4 linked regions of the Arabidopsis thaliana genome follow. The protein of the gene in region 4 interacts with the protein of the main gene of each other region in a pairwise test. Each region holds a gene or a part of one and is shown on either strand. Other genes may lie near its edges. The genes, in order: ROP10, AT4G37445, RUS3 and AT1G74370.

Region 1 (5,343 bases), on a different chromosome or scaffold from region 4:
TTAGGTCAGGACTTGACTTAAATTCTGGTCCTGGAGGTCATGAAACAGAGGGAAGAGACGAATCAACACTTGTGGCAAGGCAATTATCCTCATCTGCTTCCTTACCTTTGAAGGAGGATCAAGCAAGAATGTATCAAATGTCAGGTGGTGTTCTGAAGAGGAAAGAACCGGAAGGAGGATGGGATGGATATAGGCAGTCCTCATGGCAATAACAGTAGCTCAGAATCTCAGTAGGCCACATGAGCTTGTAAGCCCTCGAAATCCACAAACCTTAGTGTTTTATGACCTCTCTTTTTGTTTTTCTCTCTCTTACTAATGTTTCAGTTACATTTTTACTCTGCTAGTTACTAAGAGATGAGAGTGAATGTGATGCCACAAGGCTTCATTGGCTGGCCTGCTCTGTACAAATGAGGCATGGGTGAGTCAATTTGCGACTTCACAGTGGTCTCAACCTTTTTAAGAACACAAACCTGACCTCTTGGTTTCACCATCATGTAGATCTTCCAAAAACAGTCCTAAATTCACCGGAGTGGCCATTCTCTTTCAGAAGAGTCATCAACAAGGTTCTCAGCGAGAGACCCGCATCACCACCTCCCCACAAAGAGTTTTAAAAGGTGAAAACACACTTTTAGGTCATTTTTCATGCATGTGTGTATCTCTATACACCGGCTCAAAAAACTAGCGATAAAACAAATGTTGGTGGCTTTTGAGTGTGTTCAAAATGATAAAAAAAAAAGTCTTTCGCATTGTGGCTTTACATGTGTGCGTTAGGTGATGGGGGTTGTATTATAGACACAAGATTAGTTACTTCTTTTTATCTTTCTTTTTCCAGTTTGTAGATTTATTACTTCTTGTGCTGGTTCTGTTTGAAATTTACAGGCTTCTTCTTACTTGTCACGCTTTTGTCGTTTGGTCTTGGATCTCATAATAGGACCAAATAAATTCGAATATGTGATTAAGGATTCACCTTTTTTCGAAAGAAGCAAGTGTTAACCACGTTAAGTCGTGAACTACTCCAAGTTTTGGCTACAAAATGGCTATAACAATTCTATAAGGGTCAAACCAAATCGAAACAAACAAACATCAGGGTCACATATACAAACAGAATCGAAGAAGCTACTAATTGAGGCTCATCTCTGCCAGAGTCTATGTAATTCCGACTTATCAGAATCACAAACTGGCCAATTAGAAAAGAAAAGAAAAAAAAAGAAGTGAACAATCATCAGATGGAATTGACTCATCAATTCTTCCCACACAGAATGTTTCTGCACAATAGAGAAGCCAATCTATAATCATTACACAAACAAACAAAACTGTATGAAGAAGCTAAAGGTTGCATAACCAAATTCTAGTATTACATAATTTCTTAGTTATATATTAAAAAGAGTGAAGATTATTGAACTTACGAGAGACATCCGCTGCGAGGCTTCTGCTTCTTCTTCTTCTCCTTTTGTTTCACTGCTGGTTTAATTACTACTTTAATAGCAGCATCAAATACGGCTTTCACATTCTGCAAAAGCCATGAACCAAAGAAAAGCATATAGTTTGCAAGTAAAGAGTCACCTAACACTAATGACTCCTAAGTTTCCAAACACACATGAACAAGTGTACCTGTTGAGTTTTTGAGCTACATTCAATGTAATAAGTCGCTCCGATATGCTTGCGGAGTTCCTCTCCCTGTAACACATGAATGATTAAATCATATAAAACCTAGAGAAGAGAGAGTCTAGAGAATGTCACAACAATCTTTTCGGTTTCTACAGGTTGAAAAAGCACACCTGTGATGTAGTTACCGGGGACAGTCCAGGATGATCAGACAAGTAATGTCTATCTTCACGAAGATCTAGATAACGGAACATTGTAAGAAACATTACATATATGTGATTCTCAAGCATTACACAAGGAAATATGTTGGCTCCACTCTTATAGCTATCTTACCCATTTTGGTACCAACAAGCACAATGGGGACTCCTGGTGCAAAGTGTTGGAGTTCAGGGATCCACTGAACAAAATAAACGCTTCAAAAACATCAGAAATTCACATTTCATTCTTTGTTTTCCCAGTAAGAAATACAATGAATCCAATTTCCACAAACCTTTTTAAACACATTCTCATAGCTAGCTCGGCTGATCAATGAGAAAGCCAACACAAAAACATCTGCTCCTCTGTAACTTAAAGGCCTTAGTCTGTTATAGTCTTCTTGCCCTGCAAACATGAAAGGGTACTCATAATCATAAAACTCTTAACAGTCACTAATCTTCAACACTCCCTATAAAGTTCTCTATCTAAGAATCCCAAATCAAAAGCAAACTTGCTAGATGTTAGAAAGATTAGAACCACATAACATTAGTGAACTTGGTTATTCTGAGATATTCAAGAGAGGGATACAGAAATGTTACTTACCGGCAGTGTCCCAAAGGCCTAAGTTCACAGTGATGCCTTCAACCACAACATTAACACTAAAGTTGTCAAAAACTGTTGGTATGTAGTCCTGATACAATCCATCAAGCAAATCTTTAACTTCACGAGAACAACAAATGCGCAATAGAGTAAGAGGAAACACTGGTGAATCAAGAAAGCCACTAACTTTACAATGTAAGATTTTTCAGAATCTCCAAAAAAGGATTATTTTTGCACAATCCCTAAAAAAGGAGCTAACTTTGAAATACCATGCTAAAATTCTCGGTGAAAGAGTTGAAATTTGACAGACCCAGAAGTATATTCAACTAAAAGTGACGAAATTGGAGATGCCCGAAAGAACAATTTGATGAAAAATCAGCGAAACTGTGATTTACTTGATCAAATTTTAAACTTACAGTAGGGAATTTGTTGCTAGTGTAGCAGATGAGCATACAAGTTTTTCCAACGGCACCATCTCCAACAGTCACACATTTGATGAATTTTGAAGCACTCGAAGCCATTCTAACTCACCAAAAGCAAACAACTTTCAACGAAGAAACGCCCAAAAACCAGAGAGATTGTGAGAGAGATAATAGAGAGATAAATGAAGTGATTAACATGAGGAAGTGTGGTAATAAACTATATAAACCCCATATGATTAAAAAAACTAAACTCTCTTTTTTTTCACTTTTCTTTCAATATTTTCAAAGTTTCAATTTTGTATTTTTGTCTCTTTCGTTTTTTGGTTTGAAGACTGAAGAGAGGGAAAGAAGAGGGGCTCACATGATATATCCATCTAATCCACATGACTTTTCTAAATCGTTTCATATTTATCGCTTTTACAAATGTATTAGATTTTAACCCGTGGTATACCGCGAGACGATTAATTTTTTAAAGGTAATATATATTAAAACTTGCAAATTTTATTTTTATAAAATATTTATATTTTACGGTTTATAATTGTTATTAAGTAACGCTATGCCACGAATCTATAAGACAATTGTTAAAAAACTGAAGTTTTAACCCTTATTAAAACAGCATATTAATAATATTTTATAATTTTATAAATATTGATTCAAATACATCCACCATATAACCGAATTCCAAAATAAAACTCGTTCTGTAATTTCTTTACCCGTCCCGTGAGTTTTTTTTTAAGTCGTAATTTTTAAAATTTAAGAATTATTTATTATATATAAAAGTTTTGCAAATTGTATCATTCTCTAATACATTTATATTTTATAGTTTAATTTTATATATAGTAACATTATACATATCACATAACATTTTTGGTTTTATATAATATTTTCTAAATTAGGATAATTTGATATGTTTAATATTAGTGGTCTTAAAAAATAATAAATTAAAGATTTTACCCGTATTGAAACGGTGGATTAATTATATTTTACTTTTTTATTAATGTTGATTCAAAAACCCGTCCTTCTAAATCCGTCTTGCCAAAAAGCCATTTATTTTATTCATATTAATTTTATTTATGATATGACTCTGAATTCTAAACATTTTAGCTAATAACATAGGAGTGCACCATATTTATTTAATAGGGGAATGTACCATATGACCCGAATGCACTTTTATCCAAATCCACCAAAAAAATCTTGCAAAAATACTATAGAGATAAGAAACGATAGTCGGTTTTAATAGGTATAAGATTAGCAAATATATTAGTTAGCTTAAATTAGTTAAAGAATACAAATTAAAAAGGTATATTACACTTTATTCGAATATAATATCAAAACTTATATAACACAGAGATTTGATAAATTTTTAATTGTTGAATACTTTTTTTTTGTACAAATTTTTATGTGATTAAGATTTATTGATTTCGTATATAAAATATTAAATTGTTTTACGAACTTATTTGTTTATAATTTGGTAACAGAAAGATATTTGAATATTCGGTATATTTTGCTTTAGTTTAGAAAATCTTTGATGACCCGTCTTTAGATTCAACAAGCCCTATAATTAAGAAATGAATATTGTCGTTAAATGATTTTGGTAACCTTAATGATGTCATTAAAAGATTTTGTTTTTGATTAAATTTTTCTAATGGTATTGTCATGTAATTAATTACAAAAATTAAGGTTACATTTAAAATGTATTTCCCAAATAATATAGTAGGATTAAAAGGATACTAAAAGCTAATCACATGCTTAAGAAGCATTGATTATAGTACGTTATTTCTTTTTCTTTATCGGTTGATCCTTCTTATTTTGTTTAGCATTAAAAACTGTTATATTTTGCCATCATTTTTTTTGTAAGATTCTGGCATTACTCATTACCAATTAATTGTATAGATTATTTCAATAAAACAAATTTTACCTGGTTCTAGCTAGGAGAAATGAACATAACTTGGTTAAACACATATGTAGTTATAGAAGAGAGAAAGATATATATATATATAGGAATTAGGATTAACTCTGAATTGGGGACTTTTAAGTTTTGGAAAATAGCAACCAAACTTTTCCTTCTTTTTTTCTGTAACATCTGCTATCAAACTTATTCATCAATCTTAGTAAAGTATAATTTTGTTATTTCAAAACAAAAGTATCCAAGCTAAATTGGGTTTTCATATCTGATTTGTGGGTTTGATAAAATTGGTTACACACTATCGTGCTGCCAAAAAAAACAATAGACCCAAAAGGCCCATGTCTTTGGCCTTGTATGGCTGTATCATCAGAGACAAGGCAAATGATCCATCAAATTGAGATAATAAACTAGTGCATATATAGTAATCTACGTGATGATTTGTTAATAGACAAGACGAGTTTGTTATTTGTTAATTAATGATAGATAGCAGATTTTAATGGAATACTCTTTATGAAGATCACATGAAAATAAGCTAATAACCGAAATTGTAATATCTTTCAATGAAAAAACAGGTGCGAATGTGCGATCATTCCTAATCATCTTATTTGCATGATG
Region 2 (4,149 bases), on a different chromosome or scaffold from region 4:
ATTGTCGGAAATCTTTGGCCGATATTGCTCTTAATGACAACTCCCGCAACCTAGGTATGGTGTTCTAAAATCTCAACTATGATATGATATTACTCCTTTTGAAAACTTTGATCTTATAAAATATTTTCTGTCTTGGGTCATCAGATAAGAAGAATAAGAGCGCCAAGGATGAGACAGCTTTCTCTGAAGAGACACCGCCTCTCGAGTTTAGAGAAGGCGATGCGTACTTGGAACAGATACTTTTGAAAATTGAAGCAGCAAAGTCAGAAGCCCGTAACTTGAAGATCCGCGTAGACAAGGTTTTGAGTGAAAATCCAAGTATATTCCCTCTGGCTAACACAGTGAATCCACTTGGAGCTGCTGATGTATACACCAGCTCAGAACAACAAAAGCCCCTGCTGGCTATCAAAAACGAAGATGAGAAATCGATCATCTCTGAAGAAAAACCGGTGAAATCTGCTTCAGTTTCATCTCATCACGTCTCACCTGAAGACGACGAGACAACAGATATTTTACTGTCTGAGATTCTAGCATCAAAGCGAAGGGAAGGGAAATCTATTATTCCCGATAAGAATCTAGTGAAGACAGAACAAGCTTCAATTGAGGAAGGTCCATCAAGACCTGTAAGTTTTCCGCTAACTCAGTGTAACTTTGCTAAACCCTTTTGGTCTCATATGCCATTCTAACACAACGCAGGTAAGGAAAAGAACACCGCGCAATCGTGAAATCATTACGAAGGAAGAGAGTAACCCAAAGAGGCGTCGGGTTTCAAGAGAGAAGCCAAAGTCTAATGCTGTGATGGCTTCTAGGTTTTCCAACAGGAAGAGAAAGCGAGGAAAACGAAGGTCAGGCTCTGCCGGGTTACGAAGAAGATCCTGAAGAAGGTTTGGAAACTTTCAAGTAACTAATCGGATCTTGTGTTAAAAAGTAAAAATTGTTCATTCTAAGATATTCTTAACTCTTAAGCCTTTAAAGTACAAAGAAATATTTATAGTGGCTGTGTTTTGATTCTTCATGTCAACAATATATTCAAACTACATCAACTTTTGAACTTTACTTCTATAATTTAGAGTGTATATATTTTTCTCTATTTTGTATTATCAATCAATCATGTTTTATATCTTGTCGGTGCTAAGTTTTTTTTGTTTGGAAAAGAAAGAAAGCTTAGTTAAAACACTATTTCAAATACATTCGTCTAGAGAGTTTGGCAGAGACAATGGCTAAAATGGTGACCGTAGGGACGAATATAACATCAGGTATAAGTTTGATTAATTTTAACTGAGGAACATTCTCTCCTGCTCTCTTAGCCGCCATTGCCGCCGGTGGAGATACTATTCCGGTGATCATAGTGACATCATCGAGTTTACTTGGCTTCACGCTCTTTGACATGAACTCAATGAACAATTTTTTCTTCTCTTCTTCGTCTTTCGCTTCCTTCCACCGCGCGAAACAAACCTGTTTAGATCATTCAACATTGTGTTAAAAATATAGAGAAATTATTATAAGATTCTTTGTGTGATTTTGATAGAGGAGAGGACTCACCTTTATTTGGTCCGGGGTTGGGAAATCGAAGTGCCTGCCTGGTAAAGCCGAGTTGAAGTTGCTGCACTCAATAGATAAAATTCCTTTTAAAAAAAAAAATGTTGGCCAACATAACCATTGTTTTCGAATGATCAAATAATGAAACAATCCTTACTTAAAGATGTCTAAAACAGCAACGTGGAAATCGTCGAAGTTGTTGATAGCTTTTTGGGTAAATTGTTTGTAGAGTGAACCCATTACCATATTCATCATCTGCGTCGGTGGTACCCCTAGGCCAAATATCGAAATCTATTTAGAAAGATATATAGGACGAAAATTTGTCAAAACGGTTATATAACGATTTGAGTCGATAATTGTTAGGTTAAAAAATTGCAAAACCTTTTCCGAGAAAGCCCATTGAACTACCCATATTGTCTAGAAGTTAGTCTTTAGGAAGAAGAAAATGTTATGTTTATATACAAATTTGTATTGGTGTGTGGAATCAGAGACTTGGCTTGGTGGGTTTGTGTCTTTGCAAAGCCAAGAATCTTGAATCTCTACACAAGACCTTGGTTCAAGTATAACTTGTGCTTTACTTACAAAATCTTAGCCATTTCTTCACAGTTGAGTAATGTACTTTTAATAAAAGCATGGGGAATATGACTTGTCCTCTATTCTCACTTTCTTTTTGCCTACCATATTAGATATCCATTAATTTTTTTCTTTTTCAAATCTAGTTCTCTAAGGAACAAGACAAAAATATGAATCTAGCTATTTGAAAGGTACAATAAAAAGCATTGTATTATATGATTGGTTGGATCTATACATGTTTAGTAATAAATTTTAGACAATTCATTTATAGCAACTTGGCCACTTGAGTTGGGTATCAGATATGAATTCAATAAATATTTACCAACTTCACATTATAAAAGACTAAGATCCAACTAAGTAGCTGACACTTTCATTCTCGCATAATTATACTCCAATTGTAAATATTTGTTTAAAGAAACACATGTAATTGGTTTCAAACGTAAATATCAACATTTGATTTACTAACACTTTAAACATTTAAAAGACTAAAACAAATTATGTAACTGCTTTGCTTATTGTTACATAGACGTTACTTACACAAACATTTTATTTTAGAGTAAATGTCCATAATTCTGCATTAAAATTGAATGTGTCATTTTCAATAAAGAACTCGGACCCATCACTAAAGGACTTTTGTCTGCAAAAGAAAAGAACAATCAATGTGTAAAACAGTATTTTCATCACTGACAGATATGAATTCTTATTATTTCCATATAAATAAAATAAAAGAAAACAAACTGTATAATCAATTAAATAATACTCATTACCAAATTCGTAAAGAAAGAGACAATGGTAGGGTCAAAAATATAAAAACTAAAAAATATCAGAGGTGAAATGATAAATAATTTAGAATGCCATAACGAGAACGGCCCATGCGGTTGCAACCGCTCCCACCGCTACATTCCTCAACACCCTTGTGCTCGCTGCTCCGCTCTGCATTCAATTCCATATTTTCATTTTAGTTAATCGAATATGTAATTACTAAATCAATATAACAAAAATTGAAAATCTATGTTCACTGTTTTGAAATGTCTCATTGGTTATTTTTAACATTGATACTCGAACTTGTGACGGTAGATAAATATCAACATTGTTGATATAAGCTAATGTACCTGATCGTCGGCGGAAGGACCGGGAGAAAAAGCGTCGGAGTTAGGTCCGGGAGATTCAGTCGGTGGTGCAGGTGGACCGAGAAGTTCCGGAGCCGGAGCAGGTGCAGCTTGATGCTTTTTCGATTTCTTTGTAGTCTTCTTATGCTTGCTTGGAGCAGGAGCCGGTACATCAGCAACCGGAGCGGCTACCGGAGCTGGAGGAGAATCAGCTACTGGTGCTGGAACCGGTGGAGAGCTCACTGGAGAAGAAACCATTGGTGCAGGAACCGGAGGAGAGCTCTCTGGAACAGGTGTCGGTGGTGGAGACGACTCGCTAACAGGAGCCGGAGATTTTGGTGACTCAACCGGTGAAGAAGCCGAAGCAGTTGGAGTTTTCGCCGGAGCCGTAGTGGGAGAAGTAACGGCGGGGGATTTAGTAGGGGAAGTAGTTGGAGCAGAAGGAGTGGTGGGAGATTTGGTCGGAGAAGAGATAGGAGATTGGCCACCGACACCGGCGACGACAATGCAGATCAATGTAACTGTTAGGAGGAAATTGCGATCCATAATTTTGTTAAAATTTGGATCAAACAAAAAAAAAAAAAAGAGTTTGAACTTTGAAGTGATGGTTAAAGTACTGATGGAGTTTAACCAAGCGTGTTGTTTGTTTGATGTAAGAGAAGTGAGTTTTATATAGGCGATGAGGAGAGATCTGGATCGTTGGATTAAAAAAGGATCACAGACAGATGTAGCCGTTGAGAAACAGAACATCATATCCTGTATCTATTAATGTAGGATTCAATACTTTTTTCATTTTTATTTTACAGAATAGCTCTTTTACTTTTTTCTTGTGCGTTTTTATAAGGATTTTTTTTTCTTGGCATTTTTCTCCTGTTATATTCTGCAATAAATTTATTCGCCAATGGTGGGTAGATTAGCATGTGTTTTG
Region 3 (5,915 bases), about 23 Mb from region 4:
TTAATTAATACTAGATATGTTTACCAAATAAGAGTTGCAAAATTGGAAATAAAGGATTTTTTTCGATTTAAATGTCTATCTATATATTTCTTATCAGATTTAGTGGACTATGCTTTATATTAGATGATGATTGACCCACGCAAATTTTCTAAAATCATTAGTCCAAATGCTTATGTCTAAATAAGTATTGGATCAAAGAAAAATCAAAGATGATTTTATGCTTAAAAAAAAAACATAATTTAGTGACCAAAATACTATTGAATAGGAACAAAATCGAGATCTATCATTACATGTTGCTACAGGCACGGTGCCCTCTTTATAACTTTAAAACATTTTGAAAACAACAAAAGATTACACAGATTCAGAAACGAAATTAATTTGATCCATTATTTAAAACCTCTAAAACCTTGATCCATTTTAAGTAATAGACATCGACCCACTTAACCACTGAACCGTCTTATTGAGTAATTTAACCGGAAAATTTTACTGAACCAGAACCTTCCAATTGAAGAAGAGGCTTTAGTGAATCATCTTCGTCATCGATCATCAGATTCTTCAGATTCGCAAGTAAAAACTAAGAATCGACCAATCGTTTATTACACGAATACTTACTTATAAAGACAATATTAAATAAACCAGATATTTTTATTCCAATTAACCGTCCAAAATAAAAATAGATAGCCGTTTTATTTTAATTTCTCCCTATCCTACAAAGTGAAAGTCGCCAGTATCTCTTTGTACTCCCTCGCTATCTCGAAAGAGTCGTGGATGACTGCGTCGCTGCTTCTCCTGTACTCGAACTGAATGGTAGAGTGATCGACGACAATTAAGGTGACGAACCCAAAGTCCTTGTCGCCGAGCAGGCTCCAGCTGGACTGCATGCAAGAGAAATCATCTAGACTGGCTCCTCCACCTCCCGCAACAACATGAATAGTCCCGTTTAATGGCTCCTGCAAGGATGGTTGGATGGCGTGATCCCGAATACATACATACAGTTTTTCTCAAATAGTTGTGGCCAAAATCCAAATATGTACCATGTGTTTTCTCTGTTATGAACCTAGGTGATATTTGAGCACTAGCTACGATAATATTAGAACTAATTTGATAAGAAAATGGAATGTTTTTTTCTTAAATTTTTCTTAAGTTTTGCTTAAGTTTTGCTCAAGTTTTTCTTAAGTTAGAAAGAACTTTTGGGTTCGTCATTTCTTTTCTGAGAGGGAATTAAAAAGTCAAATTTGTTCTTGCTTTTTAGCTGCTGTTCAAATTCAGAATCTTGTCTTCTTCTCTCTCAATTTGTTCCATAGATCTAATCAGTTGAAATAATGAATCTGAATACTATATATATATATATATATATTCTAATATAATACAATGATGTTTGCATATACTTTTAAAAGACCCTGACAAGAAGAGAAACTAGTAACACATCAAACTTTAAAGAATTTGTAAAGAAATTTAAGACTCATTGCAGAGAAGAGAAGCACAAAACCTCGTAGTAAACCTTGATGAGGAAAAGACCTTGATAGGCGTAGAACACAGTAGAGGTGGATCGACATATTTAACTCTTGTAAGACAAATCGAAGCACTGTAGAAACAAAGAAAAAGGTGCAATGTAAAGCTTTTATCATATAAAATAACACAAAGCTTTACATCAAATCCGAGAACTGTTGGAGAAGCTTTGACATAAGCTTCTTCATTCACATCAAACAGTGTCCTATGAATTGCAACTCCTGACAAAGGTTGCTTTCGATGAGATTTTCCCTCTTGAATTGACACAAGAGTCACCAAAACATCAACAAGTTTCCCATTTCTCACAAGAAGATCATGAAAACAAATGTCTGAAGATGAAGATGAATGTGATACAACTGTGTTCTAGAGATAACTTGTAGGAAACAACATTTATAAAGTTGGTGACTGATGATCAAAACCTAGAAACATAGGCACAAAGCATATAAAGATATGGTGATCATTAGCATTAACATTCCTTTCACACACTTCCGTGACTTGTTGGTTTAAGTGTTTCTAAATCTAGAAATCCAATTGGGAGCCAAAAGAAGACTATGATGTGGACATGTGACCTGCGTTTGCCAAAAACGTACCTTTTACTAACCCAAAGTCCAATCACATTTGGGTCATTGGACTATTCAATTGCAATTGAAACCCAACACAAAGTCCAAAACACTCATAAAGTCTAAACATTTGAATAAGTGATTCTTTTCACTCGTAAGAAGCCAAAATTCGCCATGAGAGAAGAACAAGTCTCTGATTGCGGATCGATTACTCTTGAAGAATGGAATGGTTCTTCTTCCACTAAGCTATTCAAAACAGCAACCATCACTGCCTCCTCTTCTCTCTCTATCCAAAGGTTCTTCTTTATTCCTCTTTGAAATCAATCCAAATCTGATAGTTTCAGTGGATTCACAACAAAATTGAGAAACTTTCTTGGGTTTTCGTCTCCTGTGAGTGATTCATAGGTCTGCTAATCGCTTTAATCATGTGTGGAGACGAGTTCTTCAAGCATTTGTACCAGAGGCAAGTGTTTTCTCTCTTTTTCCCTTTAGAATCTGTCCTCCGGATTAGGGTTTGGCTGAATTGTACTTTGTCTAGTGCAGGGCTTTCCTGGCAGTGTAACTCCAGATTATGTAGGGTTTCAGTTATGGGACACATTACAGGTATGTGAGAATATGCTTGTATGCCTTATAGCTACTGTGAAATTTGAATTGTGACTCTCGGCTATGTTTGTTGCAGGGCCTCTCAACTTATACAAAGATGATGCTTTCCACTCAGGTGAGCTAAAGCTAAAGTTTTTGAGCTTCTGAGTTCTCTATTTTGGTCCAATTTGTCTGCTGCAGCATTTCTGATTTGGACTATTTTCAGGCTCTTTTGAGTGCAATTGGCGTTGGTGAGAAATCCGCAACTGTTATAGGTGCTACATTTCAGGTGAGTTTTTCCATTGCTTACATATAACATTTCACACTAGTTCTCTCAAGAACTATAAAGCGCAATGGAGAATAGTGATTCTATCTTGTGTATTATGCAGTGGTTTCTGAGGGATTTTACTGGGATGCTTGGAGGTATATTGTTCACATTTTATCAGGTGCCTATGTAGCAGATTCTTCCCAATCATAATACACATCGATTCTCTTCCCTTTTCTTTAAGATTTAGATTGGTTACGTTCTTATTTAATGGGAACTGTTCTGTTCTTCAGGGTTCCAACCTGGATAGCAATGCAAAAATGTGGCGCCTAGTTGCTGACCTTATGAATGATATTGGTATGTAAAAGTTAGTTGTCACATCACACTTGATACTAATTGCCTGTATTTGGTTCTCAGTTGAATGACTACAAGCTTTGTTGCTTTTATTGCAGGAATGCTAATGGACCTTCTTTCTCCTTTGTTTCCATCTGCCTTTATCGTTGTGGTTTGCTTAGGGAGCCTATCAAGATCATTTAGTGCGTATCATTTCTTGCATCAAACATTGAAGTTAAGACTTCGGTTTGGATTGATACATCGGTTTTTAACTTTTTTCAATCTTGGCTATTAGCTGGTGTTGCAAGTGGAGCAACCAGAGCAGCTCTAACACAGCACTTTGCTCTTCAAGACAATGCAGCGGATATATCTGCTAAGGTACTCTTTACTTCTTGTCACTGTGAATGATATAGAAACTATAAATGTGAACTTTGAGTAATTCTTTGCTTCTATTTTATCTATTGAAAGGAAGGAAGCCAAGAGACTATGGCAACTATGATGGGTATGTCATTGGGAATGTTGCTAGCTCGGTTTACCTCTGGAAACCCTATGGCTATTTGGCTTTCGTTTCTCTCTCTCACCGTGTTTCATATGTATGGTAAGTCACAAATGAAGGTTAAAGCATAGATCAAATCAGAATTTCTCTCACTGTTTGCCTTTCTTATATATTTAGCAAACTATAGAGCTGTCCGGTGTCTTGTATTGAATTCATTAAACTTTGAGAGGAGTTCAATTCTTCTAACACATTTCATTCAAACTGGCCAAGGTAATTTCGAAATGCGCCATTGATTCTTTCAAGTTTTCAGTGGCTTTCCTTTGTTTTTTATTGGTTTCTCTTTATTATTGCACCATATACCAATAACTTTCTTTAACTAAACGTGTTGCCAGTTCTCTCTCCCGAACAGGTTTCTTCAATGGAGGGTGTATTGCCCTTGTGGGCCACTTCATTGAGGTCAACGAATTCAAAGCCATTGCATAAGAGAGTGCAGTTAGGTGTGAGAGTTTCCTCTCTCCCTCGTCTAGATATGTAAGCTCTATACTAGATTATCATAATTTTCGGGTAAAGAATCGGCTCAAGCTTGACATATTTGTGTGCAGGTTGCAGCTGCTAAATGGTGTTGGAGCTTCTTCATACAAGAATGGTTTGATTGATTTATTTTTCCACAATCTTTCAAGGACATTAGTTTCTCTGTCCATACTTGACGTAAGCTCGGTTCTTGTCTGTTGTTGTACACTCCTGCAGCTAAGTATTTATTGGCTCACATAAAGGGAAATGTTAGTGTGATCTTGCACAAAGATTCAAAACCTGCAGATGTGTTGAAATCATATATTCATGCCATTGTTTTGGCAAACCTTATGGAAAAGAGCACATCTTTTTATTCAGAAGGAGAAGCTTGGATTGATAAACACTATGACGAATTGCTCCACAAGGTAAGATTAAATCACTAGGACCAGTTAAACCGTGTTTTTATGACACTAAAGCTACTGTTTTCACTCTTTTTCTTTCTGTTGTTTCCCATGTAGCTGAGATCAGGAGGTTGGAAAACAGAGCGTCTTCTTTCGCCTTCCATTACTTGGAGAGCTAATTGGATATCTCACACTTCCGCTGCTAAGTTCGACTGAGCTTTATCGCCTTTCAAGATCAAAATAGTTTGTTAACTCGTTGCAAACATACAAAAATATGTTAGTTCTAAGTCATGTAAAACATGTAACCGATACCGGTTTAACCGTAAAATGTCGGTTTAACATTGTATAACGTTTGTTATTAATGGAAAATTAAAGAATTATAATAATGGCAACCGTTTTATTTTTTTGGAAACGCAAAAATTGGAATCGGAACCGCTTCGAACGTATAAATACTTCAATTTTGTGATTCTCTTTCATTATCACTTCATGTTCATCGTTTAGCTCGTAGCTGAAGCTAATTCCACAACTCCGGCCAATAATTCCGCCGGCGAATGGAATCCACGGTGAGTATTTCGTTTATAGTCAGACACTTGTACCCTAGTTTTTGGAATTCGATTAATTTATTGTTTGTTAATGCTATTAGGTCATGCCTGGGTTTGATAGAATTAGCGAATTGCCGGAATCTTTGATTAGTCAAATACTGTTACACCTTCCGACTAAAGCTTCTGTGAAGACGAGTGTTTTATCGACTAGATGGAAGAATCTATGGCTTAATGTTCCCGGACTTGATTTGAACTGCCGTGATTTCCCCTTTCAGAACAACAACGAAAAACTGTTGATTGATTTCATTGACAGATTTCTCCAGTTTAACAATGAGTCACGTCTTCAAAAATTCAAGGTAGATTACAGTAGAGATAAGATCATTAAGTTCTCGGATCGGATTGGTGACGCGATTAGCCGCGGGATTCGAGTTTTAGATGTTGAGAGCAATACCTATTATCGAGATGCTGATGATTGCATTGACTATCCTTGTATCGAGTTCATGCCTCTGAATCTTTATTCGTGTAAGACATTGGTTTCTTTGAAGCTTTCGTATTCGGGTCTTGAGGATCCAGGGTTTGTCTATTTGCCTTGTCTCAAATTCATGCATCTTCGAGAAGTTCGATGGGATAGTAGTGGTACTATGAATCTGGAGAAGCTTGTTTCAGGTTGTCCTGTTCTTGAAGAACTGATTTATCTTCATGATGATAAATTGGTGG
Region 4 (4,487 bases):
TGGCTAAAACCATACAGCTTGAGCACTTGATTGTCTGCAAAATTAAAGGCCCTCTCCATACTCTTCAAGCACCTCTCGACTGCATAATCAGCATAGCTACCACACGGTTTACACCCAACGAAATGGGTCACAAATGGCCATCTCTCATCACCCAATCCCGGGTGATACTTCTCTATCATCTCCTCATACCTATCAACCAAACCTTCCCAAAACCCGTGCAAATAGTATTGATTCTCCACAAACACTTTCTCCATCCATGTATCTTTCTGAGAAAGCAGGAGATAGATCAATGCTGACTGATCATCTGCCTCAAAAGCTGGTCTACCTTTCAGATAAGCCGTCAATACCTTCCCGGCCTCATCACGAATTGGCCCTTTAGGTCCCATAGGCGCCCAAGCATCTAACAAATCCAACGACCACTGACAATTCCTCAGCAGAAAACTACCTGTGTTCAAAGCAATCCACGACTTCTGATCGAACAACAAGTCCGGATAACCATGAATCACTAGATTATGCTTCTGATACCTAGCCAAAGGGATCTGAAACAGTATATCAGTGAACAAAGCATCACTATCCATCCACCAGATCCACTCAACTTCTGGATGAGACAACATCAACCTCCTAATCATTGGTAATTTTGCCCAATAGCCAGCGAGTTCCTTATCCAAATGAGCCATGTTATACACAATCTCAATTCCATGAAGCCTACAATAATCAATCTTGTTCTTCACAGATTTCAAAAGATAATGATCACCAATGGGGTTATCACAAGGCTTAGGAGGAGATCCTGTTAAAAGCAAGATTCGAGCTTTGCCATTGACAGTACTAGGAAACTCAGGATTCTGATTCAACCATACCTTACGTTGACTATCCCAATCCGTGATCTTAGGACCTAGAACATACGTCGCATTGGGATTCATATCACCTTCCTGAGGCTCATCCAAGTCGGTTGGATCCGAATCAGATCGGATCTCAGCTAGAATCCGGTTAGTCTCCTCAATGATGTTCTGGTTAACTGCATCGGCGCTTGAGCTTCCTAGGTTACCAACACCGATAGTGCCACGTAAGACGAGAATTGTGACGAAACCACAGAGAATTGTGATCTTGATGTTGTTAAACGTCTTCTGCATCTGTCTACCTCGAGGTAACAAACCACCACGACCACCTCTTCCTCCACCGTTGGTTAACGTCGTCGTCGGAAGTCCTCCGCCGCTTCCGGATGGTCTTTTATGCGCCGGCGAACCATCTTGACCCATTTTCTTCTTCAACGTCTCTCTCTATAGATTTCACTTACAGGTTTGCGACCATCAACTTTGTTTTCCTCAGATCAGTCTGAGTATGTTTCTGTCTCTCCGTACTTACTTATTCACGGATCTGAGAAAAAGTTCAGATCTTTAGCATGATTCCGATCGGGGAAAGAGAAAGAGAAAGATTTGTCGATCTGAAGAACCCTAATTTAAAAATGGAATTAAACCCAATAATGCGGAAACATTGTCATTACTTAAAAATATATTGTCGGAGGAAAATGCTTCGTTCGATCCAGAAAGCGCACAAGGAGAAGAAGAAACGCGTACAGCTCACTCTCACCGACAACTACTATTTTACTTTAACCGATTTCGGTAATAGAAAATTACGGAACTAAACCGGTAGTTTAATTTTGGCGGTATAGTGAAACGATGCGTTTTGGTAGTTAAACCTGAAAACAGAAACGGATAAGGTGAGGAAATCGGTGGGGGCGGCGGAAACATTGAAAGGCGTTTCAGAGTCACCATGTTTTACGACGCGTGTCTCTTTTTCAGCCGGTTTTCTTCTCGCTGGTTACATCAGAGCTTCGGAGATATTATATAACTCAACGACGTAGCTGTTGCATTTTTTGTTTTTGCAATGATCTTCATCTTCATGACCGGATAAACTCTTGTAAGTGTATTTCGTTTTCTGTAATTCTGTTAATGATTTCTTGGGTTTCATCAAGTTCGTTACTTTTTGTATGTTCTCGGTCCAATCTTTGGGGGTTGGATTGTAAATCTCATATCTGATTATGTAGTGTATGTGTGTGTGATTTTCTTGTTGCAGAGAGAAAGATTCAAAGTGATTATCTTTGTGGATCCCTCCATTGCTATGTGGAATTTAGCTTCAAAATCGATCAGAGAAGGTTTTATATCGAAGGGAGAAGAAGCTGCTACAAAACCAAGAAGAGCTACTTTAGATAGATCAGGAGATGGAAGAAAGACAACAAAGGAAGAAAAATTGGAGTGTCCCATTTGCTGGGAATCATTCAACGTTGTTGAGAATGTACCTTATGTCTTATGGTGTGGTCATACAATCTGCAAGTACTGTCTCTTAGGGCTTCAACGTGCCATTGTCATCAAATCCTCTGCTTTACCATTCCAGCTTCCCTTCTTCGTTGCTTGCCCTTGGTGCAATATTCTCTCTTTAAGGCTGGTTTGCAATGGAACCATCAGATTTCCTTCCAAGAACTTTTACCTTCTGTGGATGGTAGAAAGCATGAATGGCTCCAGATCGGAGGCACCCAGCGACAACAAAAGGGTTGCTTCAGGGCAGAGAGACTTGAGAAATAGGTGTGATGGAGTGAGTAATACCGCCTTGGGTGATGAAGGGTTGCTGGACAATCGCAGCTGGTGGAATGGTGTGACCAGAGGATTCTTCAGAACTGGGAGGCTCCATGACTCGGTACGTAAGTCAATGGCTCTTGTTGCTCATTTGTTGGCTAAGTTTCCTCTGGTAGTCATATTCCTGTTGATGGCTTTATATGCAATCCCTGTGAGTGCTGCAGTTCTCGGGGTTTATTTCTTTGTTACGTTTGCTTTGGCTGTCCCGTCGTTTCTCGTCCTTTATTTTGCCTTCCCGAGCTTAAACTGGCTGATCAGAGAGATTGCAACCTGACTCATTGTACTGTTTCTTTCTTCCTGTATGTTTCCTGACTTGTAAGAAACACGAGATAGAGCCAACGTTGTTTACACTCAATATAGACAAGAAGAAGAGAAGATCTTTATTTTCAGATTGTGTCTCTGTACATTGCGAACAAAACTACCTTTCTCTATCCCTATCTGTCTGATAACAATGAGGTTCTGTGTACAAGAAGAATCAGAAACAATGAAACGAAAAATGGTGAAGAAGAAAACTCTGTTGTTCTGTATAATAAATCTGAAAGAAGAAAAGAAAGAAAGATTTTTACATTTCTATGTAACCTTGTGAAGATAAGCCATTGAAGAGCTCTGCTTTACCGGATATCTTAACCAACATAGCTAGAACTTCTTTCATGTTTGGTCTTGCCTGAGGATGATCAGCTGTACACTTCACACCAATCTTTAGTAGCTCAGTCATTTGCTCAGCTCCGTTCCCTGGTTTGGTCCCTGACAGGGTTATTGGTGAACCTTTGGCTGTCATGTTACCTGTCATTACACGTCTTGCCCATTCGACCAAACACTCTTCTCCTCCATCAACAGCTCTTCTACCCGTCGCGAGTTCCATGGTCAATACTCCGTAGCTGTAAACATCTCCTCTTGTGGTGGCTTGCCAAGTTTGTCCATACTCGGGAGCTACATACCCGATTGTGCCTGCAATCACTGTGCTCACATGGCTATCTCCTACATTTAAGAGTCTTGCTAGTCCAAAATCCGTCACTCTCGCATTCCCGTGTTTATCCAAAAGAACGTTACTGGCTTTGACGTCTCTGTGAACGATGGAAGGGTAGCATTCGTGGTGTAAAAACACTAATCCCCTTGCTACATCTGTGGCTATATCAATACGTTTCTTCCATTGAAGTTTTGTTTTGTCTGTGATGAGCTCCTCTAAGCTCCCGCCTCCCATGTATTCGTGCACCAAGATTTTCTCTGACCCATCTAGGCACCATCCATATAGCCTCACGAGGTTCGGATGTGCCCAATCTCCAAATGCGTTGGCACTTAGAACTTCCATTTCAGCTCTGAACTCTTTCTCTGCTTCTGTGCCTTCCCTCTGAAGCTTCTTGACTGCAACTTCTCTTCCATCAGGCAATACGCCTCTGTAAACAGTTCCATAGCCTCCCCTACCTACCACTCTCTCCTCAGAGAAGTTACTGGTTGCTTTCAGAATGTCAGCGTATGTGAAAGTTGATTTGTCTAAGCGAATGACCTTGATTTTTCCTGATAGCCATGGCGATGATCCACCTGAACTGGAAGTCATGTCATGTCTGGTTTTCGACCCATCTAAGAGATCGATTTCTGCTTCCCTTGAAGCCTTAACAACCATAAGTACAATACCTGATACCACTAAACATGCAATAAACGCCAATGCAAGAGCCAAGGAAATCCAAATCAAAAGAAGAGTTCTTGGCCTGTTTCCTAGGACTTGGTTGGAAATCTTCCTCGTGTTGTTCCCTGATTGGTTGAAGAAACTAGGAAACCGCAGCAGCGGATTTCCAAGAAAGGAGTCTTTGTCAAAGGTTGCTACTTGTCCTGTTGTTGGTATCGCGCCAGAAATGAAAG

Evidence for each region.
Region 1: the proteins of AT1G74370 (region 4) and ROP10 interact in a protein complementation assay, tested with the Arabidopsis thaliana proteins (one large-scale study listed by BioGRID).
Region 2: the proteins of AT1G74370 (region 4) and AT4G37445 interact in a protein complementation assay, tested with the Arabidopsis thaliana proteins (one large-scale study listed by BioGRID).
Region 3: the proteins of AT1G74370 (region 4) and RUS3 interact in a protein complementation assay, tested with the Arabidopsis thaliana proteins (one large-scale study listed by BioGRID).

Annotation. Positions count from the first base shown.
Region 1 is NC_003074.8:17,729,139-17,734,481, reverse strand, and holds ROP10 (RHO-related protein from plants 10), read right to left. Parts: upstream 3,146-5,343; 5' UTR 2,922-3,145; coding exon 2,817-2,921; intron 2,492-2,816; coding exon 2,404-2,491; intron 2,206-2,403; coding exon 2,096-2,205; intron 2,003-2,095; coding exon 1,939-2,002; intron 1,844-1,938; coding exon 1,779-1,843; intron 1,678-1,778; coding exon 1,612-1,677; coding exon of another isoform or gene 1,570-1,611; exon of another isoform or gene 1,511-1,569; coding exon 1,407-1,510; intron 1,266-1,406; coding exon 1,241-1,265; 3' UTR 969-1,240; downstream 1-968. Other genes in the region: protein SUO, read left to right, coding at 1-212. UniProt on the Arabidopsis thaliana protein: Acts as a negative regulator of abscisic acid (ABA) responses.
Region 2 is NC_003075.7:17,602,968-17,607,116, forward strand, and holds AT4G37445 (calcium ion-binding protein), read right to left. Parts: upstream 1,978-4,149; 5' UTR 1,952-1,977; coding exon 1,921-1,951; intron 1,831-1,920; exon of another isoform or gene 1,812-1,830; coding exon 1,697-1,811; intron 1,604-1,696; coding exon 1,543-1,603; intron 1,456-1,542; coding exon 1,177-1,455; 3' UTR 1,127-1,176; downstream 1-1,126. Other genes in the region: AT4G37440 (uncharacterized protein), read left to right, coding at 1-54, 145-623, 697-879; AGP18 (arabinogalactan protein 18), read right to left, coding at 2,959-3,045, 3,225-3,974.
Region 3 is NC_003070.9:4,719,474-4,725,388, forward strand, and holds RUS3 (root UVB sensitive protein (Protein of unknown function, DUF647)), read left to right. Parts: upstream 1-2,100; 5' UTR 2,101-2,243; coding exon 2,244-2,365; exon of another isoform or gene 2,366-2,474; coding exon 2,475-2,532; intron 2,533-2,612; coding exon 2,613-2,672; intron 2,673-2,748; coding exon 2,749-2,787; intron 2,788-2,877; coding exon 2,878-2,940; intron 2,941-3,040; coding exon 3,041-3,097; intron 3,098-3,209; coding exon 3,210-3,273; intron 3,274-3,368; coding exon 3,369-3,452; intron 3,453-3,544; coding exon 3,545-3,627; intron 3,628-3,717; coding exon 3,718-3,847; intron 3,848-3,922; coding exon 3,923-4,015; intron 4,016-4,137; coding exon 4,138-4,276; intron 4,277-4,347; coding exon 4,348-4,391; coding exon of another isoform or gene 4,392-4,492; coding exon 4,493-4,680; intron 4,681-4,773; coding exon 4,774-4,872; 3' UTR 4,873-5,042; downstream 5,043-5,915. Other genes in the region: AT1G13760 (uncharacterized protein), read right to left, coding at 892-950, 1,490-1,628; AT1G13780 (F-box/RNI-like/FBD-like domains-containing protein), read left to right, coding at 5,208-5,219, 5,300-5,915.
Region 4 is NC_003070.9:27,956,617-27,961,103, reverse strand, and holds AT1G74370 (RING/U-box superfamily protein), read left to right. Parts: upstream 1-1,703; 5' UTR 1,704-1,917; intron 1,918-2,073; 5' UTR 2,074-2,118; coding exon 2,119-2,904; 3' UTR 2,905-3,018; downstream 3,019-4,487. Other genes in the region: AT1G74385 (uncharacterized protein), read left to right, coding at 134-379; XXT5 (xyloglucan xylosyltransferase 5), read right to left, coding at 1-1,256; AT1G74360 (Leucine-rich repeat protein kinase family protein), read right to left, coding at 3,193-4,487.